Linked DNA regions of Astyanax mexicanus. The protein of the gene in region 1 purifies or fractionates together with the protein of each later gene. This does not show direct contact. Links are inferred from orthologs where the notes say so. Each region holds a gene or a part of one and is shown on either strand. Other genes may lie near its edges. The genes, in order: rrs1 and nifk.

What was found.
Region 2: the proteins of rrs1 (region 1) and nifk purify together in Homo sapiens (affinity purification with mass spectrometry; 3 studies listed by BioGRID and IntAct, counting the BioPlex papers as one, with this or other methods). This does not show direct contact. The link is inferred for Astyanax mexicanus from reciprocal best matches to the Homo sapiens genes RRS1 and NIFK.

Annotation. Positions count from the first base shown.
Region 1 is NC_064408.1:97,453,816-97,464,124, forward strand, and holds rrs1 (ribosome biogenesis regulatory protein homolog), read left to right. Parts: upstream 1-5,494; 5' UTR 5,495-5,532; coding exon 5,533-6,588; 3' UTR 6,589-8,352; downstream 8,353-10,309. UniProt on the Homo sapiens protein: Involved in ribosomal large subunit assembly. May regulate the localization of the 5S RNP/5S ribonucleoprotein particle to the nucleolus.
Region 2 is NC_064418.1:8,214,599-8,225,406, forward strand, and holds the start of nifk (MKI67 FHA domain-interacting nucleolar phosphoprotein), read right to left. Parts: upstream 4,561-10,808; 5' UTR 4,169-4,560; coding exon 4,055-4,168; intron 3,231-4,054; coding exon 3,108-3,230; intron 2,878-3,107; exon of another isoform or gene 2,751-2,877; intron 2,667-2,750; coding exon 2,558-2,666; intron 2,442-2,557; coding exon 2,230-2,441; intron 2,128-2,229; coding exon 2,068-2,127; intron 2,005-2,067; exon of another isoform or gene 1,878-2,004; intron 1,184-1,877; coding exon 983-1,183; 3' UTR 1-982. Other genes in the region: si:dkey-219c10.4 (high affinity cGMP-specific 3',5'-cyclic phosphodiesterase 9A), read left to right, coding at 5,939-6,026, 6,996-7,157, 7,283-7,334, 7,423-7,525, 8,070-8,212, 8,309-8,368, 9,890-10,067.

The DNA.
Region 1 (10,309 bases):
GTAAATGAAACTCTGTTTAAGTACACTTAAATACTAGACATTAACCAAACGTAACTTGAAAAATAATTTTCATTTAATTATTACTTATTAAATTTTATTGTGAACCAGCAAATCCTGGAATCTTCCACAGGTTAAGGATTTTGCCTTGGCCCTCAAAGTGCCATAACATAAACATCACCAAACATCTGTGGCTAAAGCAACCAAACAGACCAACAATTTTACAGAACTAAAAGTTTTAGCAAGCAAGAACAGGTTAAAAAACGTTTCCACAAAGGTGTACCTAAACCTGTTCATTTTTTGCTATAAACCAACAAAAGATGGATAAAATATTCCTGGCTAGTATATTGAAAATGTGTCATCTTCAGGTGGTCATGATATTCTGATTGGACGGTGTCTGATTCATTATATTGTATCATAAAATGCTTATATTGCTGTGCCTGCTTTTTTATGGCAACCACACTGCAAATAAGATTGACCAGCATGAACAAGCTGGTTGGCCAGCATGATGCTGATGAGACAGGGACAGAAGGTAGAGATAATACAGTTAAGAGTTTGATGGGGGTCTGGTCTGTATTGTGTAACTTTCAGCGTCAAAATAAATAACTCTCCAGCTCTGCTTTAATGTAAAACTGTTACATTAACTTCCATTAAAAGTTAGACCAATTTCTTCTGTAAAGTCACCTTTTTGAAGGTATAAACAAAGGCTTTCTTCAGAGGGAGGCTAAATTGAAGTGAGGAAAGGTTCTTTTAAAGGTTATTCAGAACTTCATCTCACATTTATGAAGCTCACCTGATGCTTTGGGGAAACATAAGTTTTCTGTTCTCTGTTTAACATCTGTGATACACTTGAACTTACCCAACATGCGCTGACCTTCAATCAGAATGAAATCCCAGTGTGGCAGCTTCTAGGTTACATGGTTCATGTTTTGAAAATGTGCAAAAGTGAATCTTTATATCTCAATCTGACACACCAGGGAGTTCCTTCATACGCTTGAATATGCCTGTCAGTGTGAATTTCAATCATGGAGCAGAAGCTTTTTCTTGGTTGCTTCTAAAACATGAACCCATCTAAAGTCTCTAAATTGAGTTTGGAGAAGTGAAACATATAAATATGTTTATCAGCATAAGAGCGGAGTAGGTTCTTGGTGTGGTGCACCTTCTAACTACATTGAGGTCTGCACAGCAAATGAAAGCACATCAATTTATTCTGAATACCATCACGAGGACATATTTCACATGAGATGGAAACACTTTTAGCTCTGAATAAAAATGGACTTTTGTGCTGCATGAATCCACAGAGCAGTGTCTTGTATGATGTTACGTAATTGCAGCATGCGTGTATTGAATCCACACATGGAAGTGTTACTTCCAAAAATGCAGGAATCTCTTCAGCCTGGAATCTTCATAAATGATTTGATATCTGCATTGCGACTGCTGCCAAAATGAGGGGTTGATTTGCAATAGGCCCTCAAAGCCATGAATCGGGAAGTGCCTCTTCTTCTATGAATTACTCTCTCATTTACTTTCTATCTGATTATCACACAGACTGATTACCTTTTCAAGGTACAGCACAGCATTCCACAGTTCTTCTGGGCAGGGACTATTAGCCGCGGCTCTAATAATTCACACCGAATGGAAATTTTATTCAGCATACTGTTGCCCTCCAGGTCTATTGGGAGACACCAGTCAAAGGTGCGTCATTCCAGCTAAAGAAGAAAATAGAGCTCTCTGTCCATACTGATGAGGAGAGGAGAGGTCCTCACAGAGAAAACAGAAGACGACATCAGCGCTCGGTAGCCCCAAAGTCCACACAACAAGCCCTCTGTGGGCATTCTCCGGGGGACAGGCGACGATTCTTCAAAGTTCCTCTGTTCTCCGGCCGTGACTGAAATAATTAGGTGTATCTGTGCTGAATAGACTTTAATGAGGATCCAAATGGCAGCACTCACTCTCCAACTCAGGCCAGGCCTAGACCAAAACATGTGCCAACGATTAGCAATTTTATTTCAAAGGGCATCTTCAGGTTGTGCAATTAAATTTCACCAAACTACCAAATCTAGATATATTGTATATAAAGCTATATAATTAAGAGACCACTTCAGTTTCTGAATCAGTTTACCTTTTTTTGCTATTTATAGGTATATGTTTGATTAAAATAAGCATTGTTATTTTATTCTTTAAACTACGGACAACATTTTCTCCTCCATCAGTCTTACACACTGCTTTTGGATAACTTTATGCCACTATTGGTCCAAAAATTCAAGCAGTTTAGCTTGGTTTGATGTTGATGACTTGTGATCATCCATCTTCCTCTTAATTTTATTCCAGAGGTTTTCAATTTTAAAATCAAAGAAATTTATATTTTTACGTGGTCTCTTATTTTATTTCCAGAGCTGTATCATATTGTAGGGAAAAACACATTTGTCTTACTTTTATTTCCATTACTAAAGAACTGAATTCAGTATTTAACACTGACATATACAGTACTATGTCTGCTTTTTCCGCCTGTGTCTGTTTTTTCCAACACATTCACACTGAAGTTATAGGGGGTGTTTTACCCTGGGTTGTTTTTAGAAAAAGGCACAGAGCATGACATCTAGAATTGCAATTTACAGGAAGAAAAAAAATCCTTTCCTAACTTTTAATAAAGCCCCTAATAGACATGCTTTTCTGGACAAGCTGAGAGATACAGAACGATCACTGAAAATGCAAGAAGCATGTGCACTGATTAAGTAAATTAATTTATCATAATATAACCTAAAAATGACAGCATTACACAAATAAAACCAGCATAATTTTGCCTGCTTCACCAGAATTAAAGTGCAGTTAGCAGCATGTTAAGCCTGGAGTAGCAAAAAATAGATAGACTGTATTCTTGATAATACAAGTCAGTGAAAAAACACTCGTTTTTCAGGGGGTCCTTGGGTAATTTTCTCTTTTATGGGAGTCCTCTGTGATTTTATTCCCGTCTAGAATGACCATGTACGCGTTTTTCTCCGACGTCCTCTAAGAAAATTACAGACTGAATTACCTGCTGTTTTTTGCTGAACTCCGTGGTCCTCCGGTCATTTGAGTCTTGTCCGGATCCACATCTCTGAGTTTCATCTCCTTGGGTTTAATAAAATAGCTATTTGTCCACTGCCACACACCGCTATTACACTTTGGGCGCACGTTTCCACAGAGATCCACATAAACACAACAGCCAGTGGAAATAGAGGAGCTACTGAACGGGATGTCATGTGACCGTGAAAGCCTAAAAACTCACTGGACCTCCTGTTTTTTTTTTATTGCAGTCCAGATGCAGGAGTTTTATCACTAAATAGAAGTGTAACATATTTTTTACAGACATCCCCCTGAGAAGCTAATCTCGTCCAGACAGGGCTTTCTACTTCTACTTTAACTAAAATTACAGGACAATCACTGAGTTCAGAGGAAAACAGTATGTAATTCAGCCTGTAATTTTCTCACATTATATCTAAGAAAAACACATACATGGTTGTTCCAGACAGGAATAAAACTGGATAGGGCTATAGTATTGCTTTAAATGAATACATTGTCAGATTTACATAAGGAACGATTTTCCCTTAAAACCAATCATCCTAGACATGTTTGGTGTCTAATATTTCTTTAGTTTTACACTGAAGAATAACGTAGCAGTAATAGAAGTATGTGCCACTCACTGAGTGTCTTTCATATATCTCATAGCTCCGGTTAAAAAATAAAGAACTTAAGACACCAAACAGAAATCAGTTTATCTATTTTAGAGTTAGAGGAAATACTGCCAAATTACTGTTGTTTAATGAATCATTGGAACCTTCCAAATTGATTAGCACAGTTAAAACAGAAAAGTTTAGATTCATGGCCTTTACAGACTACAGTACAACATGTTTAATAGTCTCACAGTCATATCAAATATATATATCAAGTGCCTAATACTGATTTAGGTGTGAAAAAATCACAGAAAATATTATATTAATATTCTCATGTTCGTCCATTTGCTGGAAGTCATCTCGGGTTCTTCATCTAAGAGCGAAATTTAAGCAGCAGCGACACCCAGTGGATTTAAACTAATATTACAATTAAACAGGTCCTCAGTTTCTTAATTGTGTCAGTCAAATGTTCTTACTTGCCGTTTAGAGCCACACTCTTTGTATAGGAAACTCCTTTTTGATTATGTATCTTAAAGCTGGGAGAAACATTTAGAAAACTTTGGGACAAATTACTGTGAACTGTTGATTTATGAAGAAAAGGTCTAGAAATAACAGGTCTGTAGACATCACATTTATCAAAATCACACTGGTTGACTAGCTTGATCAGGTTTGGCATTCAACTCAAATGAAAAAAATTATGTTTTTTTTTTTTTGAGTACTGAATGCATCACCATAACACATAATATTACAGGTATATTAGTAATATAATTAAAACGTACTAGTTTTAGGCTGAAATGCCCTTATATTTGTCTTTAAGTTTGATCTCTTTTACATTATTTAATTGTAGTAGAGACAGGAATTTTCTCATTATATATTTTTTCTCATATTCCTAAAACAGTGTTTAAGGACATCCAGTGAAACCAAGAAAAACACATGTTTTAAAATAATATTAACGTTAAGTATTTCGTATATCTTTCACTATGTCCATGTTCTAAAATAAACAATCATTTGAGAGTGACTGTTCGATGAGCGTTTCCCCAAAGCGGACTACAAAATCTGTCGCATGGCTGACGTCAGCCTCGAACCTCCAAGGAAGCGGTGCCGCACTGAAGTATGGGTTTTGTAGTTCAGATTTATATCTTATATAAACTTCAAAGTTACATGACCTAGCAATTTATGTTGTAATTTTACTGTGCTTTTAGCAAATGTTTATCAGTGTATGCTTACAAAAAAAATAAAATAATAATAAGCGAGTGAAAAAAATCATAATGAAAGTATCCAGCAGATGGCGCATTGTAGATTTCCCTCAAACAAATATTATTAAACTACGATTATATTTACAAGATATGTACATCATAATAACGACTATAATTCATGTTTCCGAATTGTATAGTAATTTAAAAATTACTCATTTGTGGAGGCTTATTATATGTGTGTACCATTTTAATAGTTATAAAATATATGTTATTGTATTTTTTATGTGGTAATCGCTTTCATGCTGAAAATTAGTTTTGTGTGAGGTTTCTGAAATATTTTCTCTGTACTTGTCTTTATTTTTTAAAGTGTTTTAATCCTTTCTTTTATTTGTTTTTCCCCAATTGACAGTATTTTTTTAAGTGTTCACAAGGCCAGTATTTTTTTTTACTGTTTAAAAGGACAGTTTATATTTTTATTTTTTCTACTTGTTTACAATGACAGTAGTTATTTTTATTTTATTTTATTTTTTCACAATGACAGTAGTGTGTTACTGTTCACAGTGACAGTATTTTTACTGATTTCTTTCCTGTTTTGTTTGGTTATAACTGTTAGTGTGAGAAAGTTGGTAACACAGCTGATGACGTCTAATTGTGGTGCCGGAGCTGTGACACGTGCAGAGAGCAGCATGGCGGCGTGCAGTGTGGAAGACGTGCTGGCTAAAGCCGAGCGGGACGAGGCGGAGCGGCTGAAGAGCATCAGCGTGGTTAAAGAGCTGGAGCTGGAGTTCGACGTGGGGAACCTGCTGGCTCTGGATAAGAACCCGGTGGAGCTACGGGGTCGGAGTCAGGACCGCGAGGAGTTGCTGCGGGCACTGGCGAGAGACAACGTGCAGCTACTGGTGAACGAGATCTGGAAGCTGCCGGCGGAGCGCACGGACGACGTGCTGGTGGTGAAGCTGCCCGAGGCCAGCACCAAGCTGCCGCGAGAGAAGCCCCTGCCCAAGGTGAGACCCCCGACGAAATGGGAGCAGTTCGCCAAGCTGAAGGGCATCCAGAAGAAGAAGAAGACCAATCTGGTGTGGGACGAGGTGCACAAGGAGTGGCGAAGGCGCTGGGGCTACAAGCGGGCTAAAGACGACACTAAAGAGTGGCTGATCGAGGTGCCGGAGACCGCCGACCCCAGCGAGGACCAGTTCGCCAAGAGGAACAAGGCTAAGAAAGAGCGAGTGGCTAAAAACGAGTTCAACCGCCTGCGCAACATCGCCCGGGCCAGCAAAACACCAGTAGCCGGGCTGGGGCTCGCACCCAGGGCGCAGCAATCCAAATCAGAGCTGGCTCAGGCCGTCAGCGTGGCCAGGACCTCCACAGCCTCGGTTGGCAAGTTCCAGGACCGGCTGCCTAAGGAAAAAGCCCCGAGGCACACCGGCAAGAAGAGGAAGTTCCAGCCTCTGCTCGGGGACTTTGGGAACGAGAAGCAGAAGCAGCTGGAGATGCTAAAGGTGATGGAGACCAAGAAGCCACGCTTGGACGTGACCAAAGCTGTGAACAAACAGTTGAGGGAGGATGAGGAGGAGGAAGGACGAACAAGAAGGAAGAAAGGGTCAGGGAAGAAGGGAGACCGAGGAAAGAGAGGTGCTGCTGGAGGAAAAGGAAAGGGTGCCAAAGGCTCTAAAGGTGGCAAAGGCGCCAGAAGCACCAAAGGCAAGGGGCGAGGCCCTCATATGAAACAGGGGAAGCGCTGATTGTAATGGACTTTGTGTTTATGTGAACTGAGATGGACATCTGACTATTACTGATCACATTACACATACTAATTTAAGTCATGCAAACCGTAACAGTCAGAACTGATACAATCCTATTGGACGGTCTCAGCCTGTAAGGTGTATGGCTAGCAAAAATATATTTTTTTGTGTGCATTACAAGTCTGTGCAACCTGAAAACAAGAAGTGGAGTGTTGTCATTGTAACCATGCCTGTGTATGTATTACACACATATTATTTGTGATCTGTTGGTTTTCCAAACACATTTGGAGCATCAGTGCCCTTGTTTTCACTTGCCTGTTGGGTCTTTAAACACTGCACTGCAAGTTTTTTGATAAAGCTTTCTTGAATAAATGTTATATGAAAATTTTGTTTAATGCTGTATCCTGTTCTGAAGGTTTGTTTACATCAGTCTGATTGGGAGTAAGCGTTATTTATTTTCTTTAGTTATCTAGATATGTTTCCTTGTATTGTTTTGTAGCTTGGACTTTGTGTTTATGTGAACTGAGATGGACATCTGACTATTACTGATCACATTAGGCCATGTGGTGTTCCACACAGGAGTGACACTCTGGTGCCACCTTGAGTTACAACAAAGTTTCAACTCACCAGTACAGCTTGGTGTTTTCTCTGCTCTAATATGCACAAGTGTCATTTTAAAACTATATATTTTCAAGGTGCATCACCAGTATCTCTGTTTGTAGTTGTTTCTCTAACGCATGATGGGTTACGGCTCACCCACCCTTACACCCATGCTTTCATTTTCATCCATTCTGTGATTTTCTCCAGTGATTTGATTTATATGTTTAAAAAAGAATGGACATTTAGCAGATAATAAGCCCAAGTCAGATCTATCTAATAAGATCAGTGTTGAAGGCAGTCCTTCTAAACAGTCTTTACCTCCGGCCTAAGAGTTAAAATATTTTTTGTTGTTTAGTAAAACTTGCTGTTGTTTAGTGTAAGCATGTCTATGATATGCTGAGAAAAGTAACTAGGGCCTATATTCTACCAAAAACCACCAGTTCATGGGGCTTTAACCTCCTTTAACCACCAATTTTTGCATTTCCATTCTGAATGTTATTGAGGATTCCTGTAGAACTGTTTGAGAGACCCTGTTTTTTATTAATGCATTTACTCTTACCATTTTTGACCGGTGGCTGGACAGTAATGGCTTGGCAGTACTTGATTAAAAGTGCCTTGTATTTGATGTTGACCAGGTATTTTGTGTGTTAAGACGTCACCCTCCAAAATGCTCCAGTGCAGCCATAAGACATTAGTCTGACAGTAGTGACCTACTATAACTAGTGCAAAATTAATAACAAACCATATATATATATATATATATATATATATATATATATATATAATTAATAAATACATTATAATTGAACTGTGCGAAACACATACTAATTTAAGTCATGCAAACCGTAACAGTCAGAACTGATACAATCCTATTGGACGGTCTCAGCCTGTAAGGTGTATGGCTAGCAAAAATATTTTTTTTTGTGTGTGTGCATAACAAGTCTGTGCAACCTGAAAACAAGAAGTGGAGTGTTGTCATTGTAACCATGCCTGTGTATGTATTACACGCATATTATTTGTGATGATGTTGGTTTTCCAAACACATTTGGAGCATCAGTGCCCTTGATTTCACTTGCCTGTTGGGTCTTTAAACACTGCACTGCAAGTTTTTTGATAAAGCTTTCTTGAATAAATGTTATAATATGAAAATTTTGTTTAATGCTGTATCCTGTTCTGAAGGTTTGTTTACATCAGTCTGATTGGGTGTAAGAGTTATTTATTTTCTTTAGTTATCTAGATATTTTTCCTTGTATTGTTTTGTAGCTTCTCTTCTAGTGTCTCTCATTATTTTAAATTTCACTGGTAAGAAAATAATGATACGGCTAAAATGAGTTTTTGTTTAGTGTCCATGTCTAACAAAACACTTTCCTAGAAATGGACCTCCCTTATTCTGGTTTTCAGATTACGTACACAGCCTATTGCATAAATGACAAAGATAGTGCCAGCAGTGAGAGGATCTTGGGCACTGGCAGTGCCTGCAGGGTGTATGCCAAAGTGGGTAAATATACTAATTGAGGCTTTAAAGAAACTAGGTAACAGTTGGCCTGTCAAGATAATTACATCATCGACTGTATGGGCATGATCACTATTTTGCTGACCTTTGTTCAGTCTATTATGTTTTTCTTAGCAAGAAGGATCCATTAACCTGAATAAGCCAGAATGTTGACTGTTTATTTTATATGTATTTAGAATATATAAATTATAGGATATTGCAATATTAATGTTGAAATTATCTAAATAATTAAGTTTTTTGCTCTTTAAAAGAATGTAAATGCATTATTATGTTATTATGTTATTGTATCAGTGACATCAAATGGTCTTCAAAAGGCAATATTATTGATCACATTTATTTATAGGACAAAATACAGTCACAACATATAGTTATTATGACAGACTTAGTTAATAATCTACATATAGTCGTTGGGTCAAATAAAATAAGTAAATATATATAGATTTTAGTGCCCTCTTGTGTGATTATAGCTCTGACGTCAGTGTCAGTGGCATTGGTTAACAAAGCCTTTAATCCAGAAAAGGAAATTTGTTGCATTTTCCTAAACAAAGCAATAATAAAGATTTTCTGTCCTTTTTTTTATTTTTTTTTGGGGGGGGGGGTAAGGTGGTAAATTAGGCTGCATGAGAGGCTTTCTCTGAATGCTGCAGAAGAGCATGACCATGTTCTTGCTCTGTTGCGTGAGGATTAGCAGCTGGTTTAATTGTGCTGAAGATAAGGGTGTAATTTATAGGTCTTGTAGGTCTTTAGTGCAGCAATGAGGTCAGCAGGCTGTTGGATTCATTCAGACAGTCAGACCTATTGTTTACTGATTGCTCGACACAAACAATACTCCACATCCTCTCCCTTCATCACTGTCCTGGGACGCGAAGATCAGAAATAGTCAGAGGAACTTTACATCTAAAGAGGGAAATGCCATTGATTTTCCAGCATTCTTACGTAATTAAATTGATAAGTTGTAAATTAAGTTAAGTGTGTTTATGTTAGTTCTGATGTGAGGCTTTGTGTCTGAATATATTTTATAAAACGTTTTTGGTGGAGAGGTACAGGCAGGGTACTGCAAAGCAAATTAGTGCTCAGATTTATTTTTTATAAATATTTTACCATGAACATTATATAGAAAACGTATGTACAATAGTGATAAAAATAGTAATAAAAAGCTTAAGTGTTGATGTTCTTTTTTGCACTGTAAAAAAATATTTTACACCAGGCAGCATGGAAATATTAATATTCATTTGTGACGTAGCATGATACTTCAGTTAAATGTGATTATTTATGAAAACAGGTTTTCAGTTATCTTGCTCAGTGAAACATACTTAATTTGCATTTTACATATTGCAATTTGCATTATGATAACTATATACATTATTTTGAATTTCAAATATGGCCTCTATTACAGTAACACAATGCATGATGGACACCTCAATTCATCAGCAGACATTTGTGCCATGTAGGGTTAATATTCTTATTTTTAAAAAGAGTTTTATAGTTGCATCTCCATTCCTTGTTTTAACTTGAATGTAGAATAAAAAGCATTCAAAAGCAGTACAGCTCTTCACAGTTATGTTATAAGGAACAATTTGGCCTGGAATACAGTGCAGCTAGGAACAA
Region 2 (10,808 bases), on another chromosome or scaffold:
TTTAAAACGAGGCACTGCAAAACAAAATGATGGTAACTCGACGGACGGGCACAAATGGGTAAGATTAATTAAAATTAATTCCATAATTCAGTGGAAAAGCATCAGTATTGTACAGACATTTTCAGCAGCAACTGAAATTCATGCATTTCTATTCAACACTGCATTTCGTTACCCTATCCTGTTTGTTTGTGCTCATAAGCCAACATATTGTGACAATTGTAAGATGGCGCTACCAACTAACTACCTCAAGCTACTGTGTTTACAGTGTTTTTAATAAACTATCTGTGCACTTTTAAAGCTCTCAGTGCCTTTTTTTAAATGTCGAGACACTCAAATCTACCAATGAAGTGCGGAGCTACTTAATGAGCTTGTTGTTAATGGTGTAAAAATAGGGAACTTTGGCTAAAAGTGCTGTATTTCAGAGGTGGGCTATTCAACAAATGTTTGTACTCGATATCATGTTTCACTACAAACCAAGTCCACTTCAGACTTCTCCTGCATAACTTTATTAACAGGTATATATTTAACAACCATTCGGACACAAGCACAATTTTTGCTTTTCCATATTTGTGATTTATCCCTCATTCTACTGCTGTGGAGCAAAATTATTTAGGGAAGAAAACTCACACACATTTTATTCAGGTGATACATAGTCCTGTGTGTATTATACAGCTCAACATGACTCTGTAAAGCTCTAGTCTGCTTTACACAAAGCAAAGCAACTAAATGCTAAACCACAGCCAGAACAGAGCCACACATATATATAACATCTGCATTACAAGCAAATGTAATGCACAATATATGCACAAATGCTGAAACAGTTCCTCAAGTCTCAATGAGGGCATCAGCTGTGCGTTTTCTCTATCTGTCCATCTGTGTGATGAACTGAGAAAGTCTTATATACAAATCATGAAAGCTTAGTAGTTTAGGAAGATGTTTCTCCCCAAAGAACTAATACAGTCCTAAAGAACAGAAGAGAGGTTCAACCCTCCACATCATCCGATGCTCCCTCTGCTTCTGCCTGTTCCTCTTCTTCCTCCTCAGTGTCCTCTTCACAGCCTTCAACATCTTCACTCTTCACCGACTGTGTTTTGAGGACAATCTCATCATCAACGTCATCATCCTCTACTCTTATTGACTTTCTTCTCTCCAGGATTGAAGGGGTACATACTGGGGTGGCGTCCTGTAAAACAGACAAATCATTAATCAAATATTCTGCTGAACTGTTACAAATTAAATCCAATATTTCTGATAATTTTATGACCTAAACAATGCCATATTACATGTATTTGAGGAACAATACACACAATCCAATTAGTCATGCACCGATGTATTTATTTTCATTCGGTGTCATTTTATTCTGATTTTCCTAACTTTACATTTTCTTTTGCCAGTATAATTTGTTATACAAATTAAATATAATTTAATTTAAATTGTTATACAGAGTCCTGATCTGAGACTTTGGGAAATAAAAAAAAAATCAATCATGACCTTTACTAGGATTAATTATTGATGGTAATTCTGGTTATGTTTCATTTGTGAGACATTTTTTGTTTATTTAAGAAGAGATGGATATTTAAATGGAAAGAAAAAATAAATACAGCTATGTAGTTAAGGTTTATTTTGTGACAAATTACTGTATTGATTGTTATTACATCTGTGTAATTCAACATGGAACAATGGCAGACAGTGCATTTGTTTATAGCTGTAGTAAATATCTGGGAAATGTAGGTGATACTGCACCTTCAGAGCGGTTTGGTTCAAACTTAAAGGTAAACCAAAGATCAATTTAACCAGACTTAAAAATGAAGGTGTTAAAAACACCATAATATGCTAACATACATAATGACAGGATAAGTAGGAACACATAAGCAGTAGGGTGTAGGCACATGGGTTTCATTGTGCAGCTATATAAGCTGACAATAAGCTAAATGTACCAATTTTATGTTGGCACAGTTATCTTACTCCAGAAAACTAAGACAACTGGAGTAATTTTCAGACTGTGCCTTGAAATATGTTTCTTTACATCATTAAACATCTCTATAATTGTTCCACATCAGAGCTCACCTCACTACAGACTGATGTGTCAGCACCTGACTGAGCTTTCTTCGCAGGAACTTGAGCTGCCTGTAAAAGAACAGAACAAAAAGTGTAGCAGCATTATTGATTTAGTCCAACACGCAAAATATACGAAATGTTATAAGACATATAGAAAACAAGAAAACTTACGAATCCTGGAAAGTCATAGTCAATGCCCTTCTCTGCCAGTCTCTTGCGAAGCTTGGATTCTTTTCTTAGAAGTTTCCCTGTAACTTTCTTCAGATCTTCTGAGCTGTGACTTTTATTGTACCGTGCAACTGCAGGAAGTCTGGGCTTTTTAAAAATCCTCTGAGAACCAACAAAAAGTTTTTCATGGACCTTCTCTGGAGGAATCAGGTGACCTGTTCAAAATATTATATTATAAGTAAACAAGACATTTTAACACTGGCATTATACTGCACCACCGTAACAAAGAAAAAAACAAAAAAAACAAATTAAATTAATTTACTTTACTCACATTTGATCAGCCTCTCCCCAATAAGGTAGTTGTTCATGGTCTCAGCCACAATCTTGGCAACCTCATCACAGTCAAACTCCACAAAGGCATAGCCTTTACTCCGGCCAGTCTAAGAATGAAAAAGAGCAAGATCAGTCAAAATTATTTAATCAATTGTGATTGACACAGCTGCAGAAACATCCACAGCTTTTTAGCCTGTAGGCACATGGGTTTCATTGCACAGCTATATCATCTGGCAATAAGCTAAATGTACCACGTTTCTGTTGGCACAATTATCTTACCCACAGCAACGGCCATGCTGAAGGTAATTTTCAGAATATGCCTATATCCAGAACCCTACTACTATTTACCTATTCATCTTATTTAACTTCTTTTATCATCTCCTTAGGACACAATAAGGAAATTAAACACATTTACACATTTTATCTCAGTCTGAAATGAATTATTTCTAGAAAACATGACCCTTCATGCATACAATCAAAGTAAATATTACTACAATAAAAATAAATAAATAAAGGAAACCTGTTTGAATTAAAAAAAAAAAGTTCACCTTTTTACTTCTGGACAATCGTAACCTTGTAACTTTGCCAAACTGTGAAAAGTAAGGTCTAAGCTGCGGTTCAGCCAAGGCCTGGGGAATGTGGCCCACATATACCACTCCAGGCTTCAGGGTCTGAGAGGAAAAACAGAACAGGAGGGTTAAACAAGACACATACAATCAAACATAAATGGCTACATAAACTACGGTTAAATACGGTTAGATCCTTAAGGAACTTTTTTGCGGTTAATCCAACCCTAACAAACCTATGGAAGCTGCACAATGAATATTTTTAGAATTTACATGGCTATTGAGACCTCCCACAACACACACACACACACTTTTTGTAATATCTCTATTGTCAGTGTATAGTTTATGACGCACCATAACAGGTAAAGCTACATAAAATGAACAGAAAAAATCTGATTTACACTAAATACTCTGAATTATAACAATTAAAGTTAATACATACAAAATAAATAAGTATGGATGAGTTACATTATTTTGTTTCCTAAAACAAAACCAATATGGCAGATTTTCATATTTGTCCGGTAAAATAATGTTAGTAGGTTGATAAAATGAAAATAAAAATAATTGTTTTAAACAATATAGCCTCAGTAACAATAGAAAACGCATTAAAAGGACAATGCAATAACGACAACACCGTGTCATAGAGAATTAAAACTAATTTTTTGAAGGTCCTGAGAAAGGTTTGTAAGCACTTAACAGGGCTAAAGCTAATTTACCACGTGTTCCACATGTTAAAGTGCATTGAATTTATAATACACGAGGATTAAAGGGAAAAAACAGAAAATCAGTCACACTGGTAGTTTCATCATGACACAAACAGAGCAGATTTAAACATTTTACTGATATCTCACACAGTCCTCACTCATTAACTCTCAGCAATAACACTGCTGCTCTACAGCATGAGGATTAGTAGAGTGTAGCATAGTTACCGCTCTGGGGCGACCCTTCACTTGCTGGATTTTCTTCTGAAACTCGGCGTCCTCCGCGGGGTTCAGGGCGAGCAGCTTCGGGCTGGTCTTGGAGGACTTCTTGCCCTCAGTCATGATTAATATAAACACAGCTCAAATACAGAAAAAAACTATACAACTACACTTACACACACAGCCCGCTGCTTCGCCACCAACCACGTTTCTACTGAGGAAGAACAGCAGCGTAACACATGGCGGAAAACCGGAAATATTTCACAATAAAAGTCCCCCATCGACTCAAATACTGAAATACAGAGACCCCATCTGGAAAGGAGGACTCTGCACAAAGCACTGTCCTCTAAAATCAGCTCATTTGGTCATATACCGTGCCTAGTCAAATAAAATAAGTCGCCACCTGGATTAAACCAAGGATCAATTATGTGGGGTTGGGTTGCTGCAGTTGGTTAGGTCTGGGTTCAGCAACAGTATGTGCTGAAAGAATGAGGTCAGCTGACTACCTGAATATACTGAATATAGACCAGGTTATTCCATCAATGGATTTTTTCTTATAAGAGTTTGGTTTGTTACAAACGGCAGAGATGTAATAATGATACATGGCACTGTCACACATTATAAATATGTGATTTTATGCTGAAATACTTTGTATTATGCTCTTTATTAAACTCTGTTCAGTTAAATAATCTCAGTTCAGTTAAATAATGTTGTCAAATATAAAGCATAGGTTGAGATTTTGGTGTGTTGTTTTAATGATTTGAAAGTAAAACTAATGTGGTGTGCATGTATACTGCTGAACACGTTCTAGTCTGGTTATATTCTAGTGTCAGCAACTAGTGGGAGGGGTTCTGATAACAGTGTTGTTGTACTTTCCTGCATTCAGTTCATAACCAGTCTTTGTCTGGGGGTAGAGAGAGAGAGAGAGAGAGAGAGAATGTCTATTCAAACCTGGCCCTGTGTAAAAATGTATGTACATCTCTGCGGAAGGCTTTTTGAACAGATTTGTTATAATTACGCCACATTGGCCCAGGGCTTGTTGCTTCTGCCATCTTTTAGGATTTTCTCTCTCTCTCTCTCTATATATATATATATATATATATATATATATATATATATACATGTACTGGCAAATTCATGTACTGGCTCTATTCATGTACTGGCTCTTAAAATGTATATTGTATGTATATTCTAATAATATCTGTACCAGAACCTTAAATATTAGTTTGATATATACATATATATATATATATATATATATATATATATATATATATTCTGGTACAGATATTATTAGAATATACATACAATATACATTTTTAAGTGTAACAAATAAATGTCTTTTACACTGTTTATACAAATACTACTATAGTATATCAAACTCATAAATTATCCACTAAAACATACAGCATTCTGTCAAATGTATTAGCTGATACTATTGTTACGGACCCTGTTATGCAGAAATTGCTATTTTGATATTCACTGGCATTGTCAATTGGTACTGTAAATACAGTATTTTCCAGTGTAAACAGTATATACTAGTATTATCAAGCATTTTAATTGCTTTTGTCATGTAAAAGTCATTACTAGTTAAGACACAACATACAGATTGTTCAACCACATTTAGTAAAATGATAGATTGAAACTACTCGCCAATGTTAACTAAGGACTTATTACAGACACTATACATTAGACAGTATACACAGATTTAAAATGGAACATAAACAAGACGGTGCAGCCCAGTCCAGGTGGTTAAGAAAGGAGAGAGGGATGGCAGTAGAGGAGGAGGGACAGGAGAGGAGGAGGAGTTGTGAAGTGGCCCTCTGTTAAATAGATGTCACACTGTAAACAGATCATTCAGCTGCAGGAAGTGAGGGAGAGTCAGCATCTGGCATGGAATCTAAAATCATTTATTTTACAGTGAACGGAAGACCAGAGCAAGCAGAGTTCCCTGTTGACTGTCCTGCACAGGATGTCAAAGGTGAGGACACATTTAATTCATTTATTTATTTAGAATTATTGAAGGTTGTTTTATAAATAATAACGTAATGAAGTGGAGCGAAGGTCGAACCGTAGTTTGGAAGAAATATCATTAAATGTCAGGCAAATTCATGTACTGGCTCTTATTGCTATAAATGTGATGACGTGAGCAGGACTATGATGAGAATTTATTTAGAATTGTCAATTAGGCTGAAAGCATAAAAAACATGTAGTATCCAGCTTTATATATAAATTTCATCTGTACCTGTATTGATGTCCTCAGTGTTTTCCTATTTTCCTATCCTAGAAAGAAAGAGAAATAGTAAGAAAGACAGAAAGAGAAAGACAGAGCGAGAGAGTGGGAGAAAGTAAGAAAGAGAGTAAGAGAGAAAGAGAGAGAGAGAGATCTTGTTGAAGAGAATGGGCCACAGGTGGAGCTGACAAGGCTCTGCATCAAGTGCACAACATACTTCATGGTGTTCTCCTCAGAACTGGAGTCACATCCACGTTCACGTGGGTTCTAGACAGATTCAAACACAACATAAGACACTGCTCACAATTGGTCAATTAATGTGTGTACACTTTAAGTATCAGGATATGTCTGAAAAAGGCCAAGCCAGATACATATGAAGTGTAGCTTACCCAAGACATATTTAAAACAGATACAAACCTAATTAATCAAACCACTTTAGGGGGTAGAGTGAGACATATTTTTATTTTATTTGTATCACTTTGATTCTGAAGCTGTTTTTTTAAGGTAAAAACACTGATATATATAGTGTTGTTTTAACACAAGATTAAATGTCTTTGAAAAATACCAGAAAAATATAGTTTGGAAATGGATGGGTTGGAAATTTCCTTCTCAACAGAATTGGGATTTGTTTTGGCAGCAGCTATATAATCTTTAGTAAATATACAGTACATATGACCCTTTCCCAGCCTTGTGTGTGTGTAAATGTTTCTCCTACAGATCTGTTCCGATCAGCAGCTGAAGCTGGGCCTCACGATATCCTAAAGCTCTACAACCCCAAAGGCAACATCATCAACATCTCCCCTCAGCTGACCCCAAACAGCCCTCATTCCTGCTACAAGCTGGAGGTGGTTGCTGCAGACTGCAACAGTGAGCCATTAGGTATTCTCTGAATTAAAACTGGAGACAAGCTGGTGAACTGCAGAACTAGCTGTCCTTCATGATTGAAATGACAATATGGAGAAAATTCACTCATATGAGAAATCGATTGCTGTGATATGTTTCAGGTACAGAGCTGGCAGTGGCCTTGGGCTTCGATTTGTCCTCCATGGAGAAAAGGTAGACATACTGTGTGTATAATCTGAGTCCACATATTGTCAGACATGTACTTTTTAAATAAACTTAGAAAGTACACTTTCTCAACCAGGTTACAAAGCCTGGAGAAGAAGATTCTTACTGAAGCTAGTGAGACTCCGGCCATTGTTTATGAGATGAAGAGACAGGTGGAGTCGTTCCGGGAAAAACTGGAGGTAAACTCATATCTGTACATATATCTGGAAATGTCTTTCTTTGGCCAATATTTATCTAAAGTGATCAATTCAACCATAATCATTTAAATGGTTTGACAGACTAGTAAACCATAGCTTCCATTTGCACCATCCAAAATCAATCCAGTTACAATAAAGTTTCCCACAAATGTAAAGAACTCCAACCAGGCAAAGAACCATTTCCACTTTGAAAAGTCTTGGATATGTAAAGACATATTTAATTTGACATAATTTTCATCCCAATTTAGTCTTTTCAAAATACTTTCCCATGGTTAGGCCTCCACTATTACATGATGCTACCAAACTGTGTAGATACACACAGTTTGCATAATCTGCATAGAGCAGCATTGCCCATTGCCACACAGTTATTTCTATGTATAAGTAATGAGTAAATAAAAAATGAAATGTAGGCCCCGTCCAGGCCTTTAGGAGTTTAATCCAGGTCTATGCAATTCTTTTACCATTTTAAATGAAATCACCCTTTTCTTTCTGCCTGGTTGTGTTTATAAGTTTCTGTTCTCTTTAGAGTGTGGAGCACCTGAGCTGGCTGGGGCTGTTTAAAGAACTCTCAGAGAGACCCCATAAACCTTCACCGTTCTACCATAAGAGAACGCTGCGCAAGACACGTGAAGAGTGTGAGCACGTCCGGGAAAAGTTCCTCCAGATGAGGTGAGCTACAAATCTTCACTTTTAGTCCCTGCTCTGCAGCACTACGCAGAGTTTTTGGTTAAGTGAGTTTAACATTATTGAAATGTCTTCACACAGTACTCTGGAGGTCTCAGAGGAGGTGAGACAATACCTGAAGACACCCACCTTTGACAACTGGTGAGTTTAACTTAAACATCAACACAATTCAGCTTACAGTGAGGTGCAGGGAGGAGAACTGAGCTAGAAAGGGAAGGTAGGACATGACACCAAGGTACAGGATGAGATAGAACTGAGGTAGAGAGGGGAGGTAGGACATGGGACTGAGGTACATGGAGATGATGGGACTGAGGTACAGGGAGAAGATTAAACTGAGGTACAGGGAGGTGTGGAAAGGTGAGGTATGGGAAAGGAAATCATATTGTGAGAGCAATTCACTGAATAAATAACTCCAAAAGCAAAGTGAACAGTCTTGCTATCAGCATAGTCACAAGTGTGCACATAGTATAAATTATTTTACATTATATTTCACTATTTTTGGGACAATGATTTCCTATGACTTATTTAATAAAGGATGATTATATCCCTCTAGGCACAAGGTGCTAAAATATTAAACATCATTAGCCTATGTAAGTCCAACAAATGAGCTGAGCACCTGCTATAGCAAAATGAACATTCGCTGCAGAAGTGAAAGCGCAGCTCCTCTGCCGTGCATAAAGAGGCCAGAGGAGATTCAGTCCTTTCATCTGCCCAAAAGAACTCATATCAATATGAATGGTTGTTCCAGGGGCTTACAAATCAATAGCAGTCCTTCAGAACAGAGCACTCGGCTTCATGCTTTGAAGACTGTATTTATGCAGTGGTCTTCTGGATTAGTTTTTGAACCCAGGCCTTTCAGATTAACAAAACAGGGTTCTGCACGGATGCAAACACTGTTTGGACGTAAATGTGTGTCAGGTTTGTGTCTCTATCAAAGAACACTATTAAAGCCTGCTGGAGTGATAAAGGCAATGCGTGAAGGGGACAAAAACATGAACATCTTAGCTCGTGCAACTTCAATCAGAATGCAGGAATCAAAGCATCATGTTGTGGTCAGGACTAAAAATGATAAGAAAAGAATGATCCTCCTCACATACAGACATACAGAAAAACTGGGCAGCAAAACAAGTGGGGAAACCGGAAAAGCTTAAATTTCATGAAGTAACGTTAGATCGTAGGTTTTTATTTTGTTATTAATCACAAGGTTATGGATTTAATACCCATGTCCACTAAGTGGCATTATGAAAATAACAAGATTTTGGAAGGAGGAACATGTTTGAAGCCTGTTAATCTTATTTCCTATAAAATACAATCCTTTTCTTGCTTACATGTTCATAACCAACACATCTCCTCCCTTTTACTAATATTTTTCTCTACTGATGCCCCTCTTTTCTGTCTCCACCAATCAAAAGCTTGTTACTAAACATAACTGTAATTTCTTATATAATTAAAATTTTTGCTTTGGTTTTTAATCATAATCTGTAACATTTCCATAATTGCCCTTGGTAAAATGACACAACAAACTAACCATACATTTACTACATACAATTTAAAAAAAATTTTTTGCATCAAAATCCAATTTTTGCAGCATTTTTAGCTCATCAGATAATTCATTAATCATCTAATGTCCATACAGTGTGAAAAGCATGTCTCTGTGTTTAGGCAGTGGGAGGACGCAGAGATCATGGTGCTGCTTCAGGTGATGTATACAGACCTGGACTTCATCTCCACCTTCAACATAGAGCTGGACGTCCTGCAGCAGTTTCTCTATGAGGTCTACAAGCGCTACAACAACATCCCATTCCACAACTTCAAACACTGCTTCTGTGTCACTCAGATGGTGAGAGAGCATGAGAGAGAGAGAGAGAGAGAGAGAGAAAGGGATTGACATTGCAATCAGCTCAGCTTGACCACAAGTACTTCAATTGTCCACTCGACCTTCCAGGCATTAGTAAAGGGCATACTGCCTGATAGATAACTACTAGATAGCTACTGCTTGATTTGTGTTAAATATAGTCACAACAAAAAAGCATGGCTATTTTTGTTTATGGTTGATAGCAAACTAATACCTGATTAGGTGATGGTTTGGATTTCAAGGACGCAACTGATGTATCCTTCGCAGCCCATGGTTACTGACAATTCTCTGCACACATACAATGTGAAGGAGGAAAAAAACAGCACTATAAAAATGGGACTTATAATGAGCCACTGTCCCTCTCAATACAACTTTATTACTAAACAATATTTCTATTAAGTATTAGGATCAATAATCAAGATTGATTTTAACAGAACTCATAATAATGGGTAATTGTAATATAATATAAAGACTGGTTGACTAATGATCCCCAATGGATTAAGAAGGTGAAATGCAGACTTGTGTAAAATCTTTGGAACCTCAAATTATTTGAATTAAAAAAAAAAAAGTCTAAAAATTAGGGTCTGAGAAAAGTATGGATAAAGACGCGAGTGTAAAAACACCAAACATGAATACGATTCTTTTCATTCAGACCATCTTAGTCTCAATAACTGGAAATGCCATTATCTTCCATGAGCAGTTTAAATGCATGTGGTCAGAATCTTT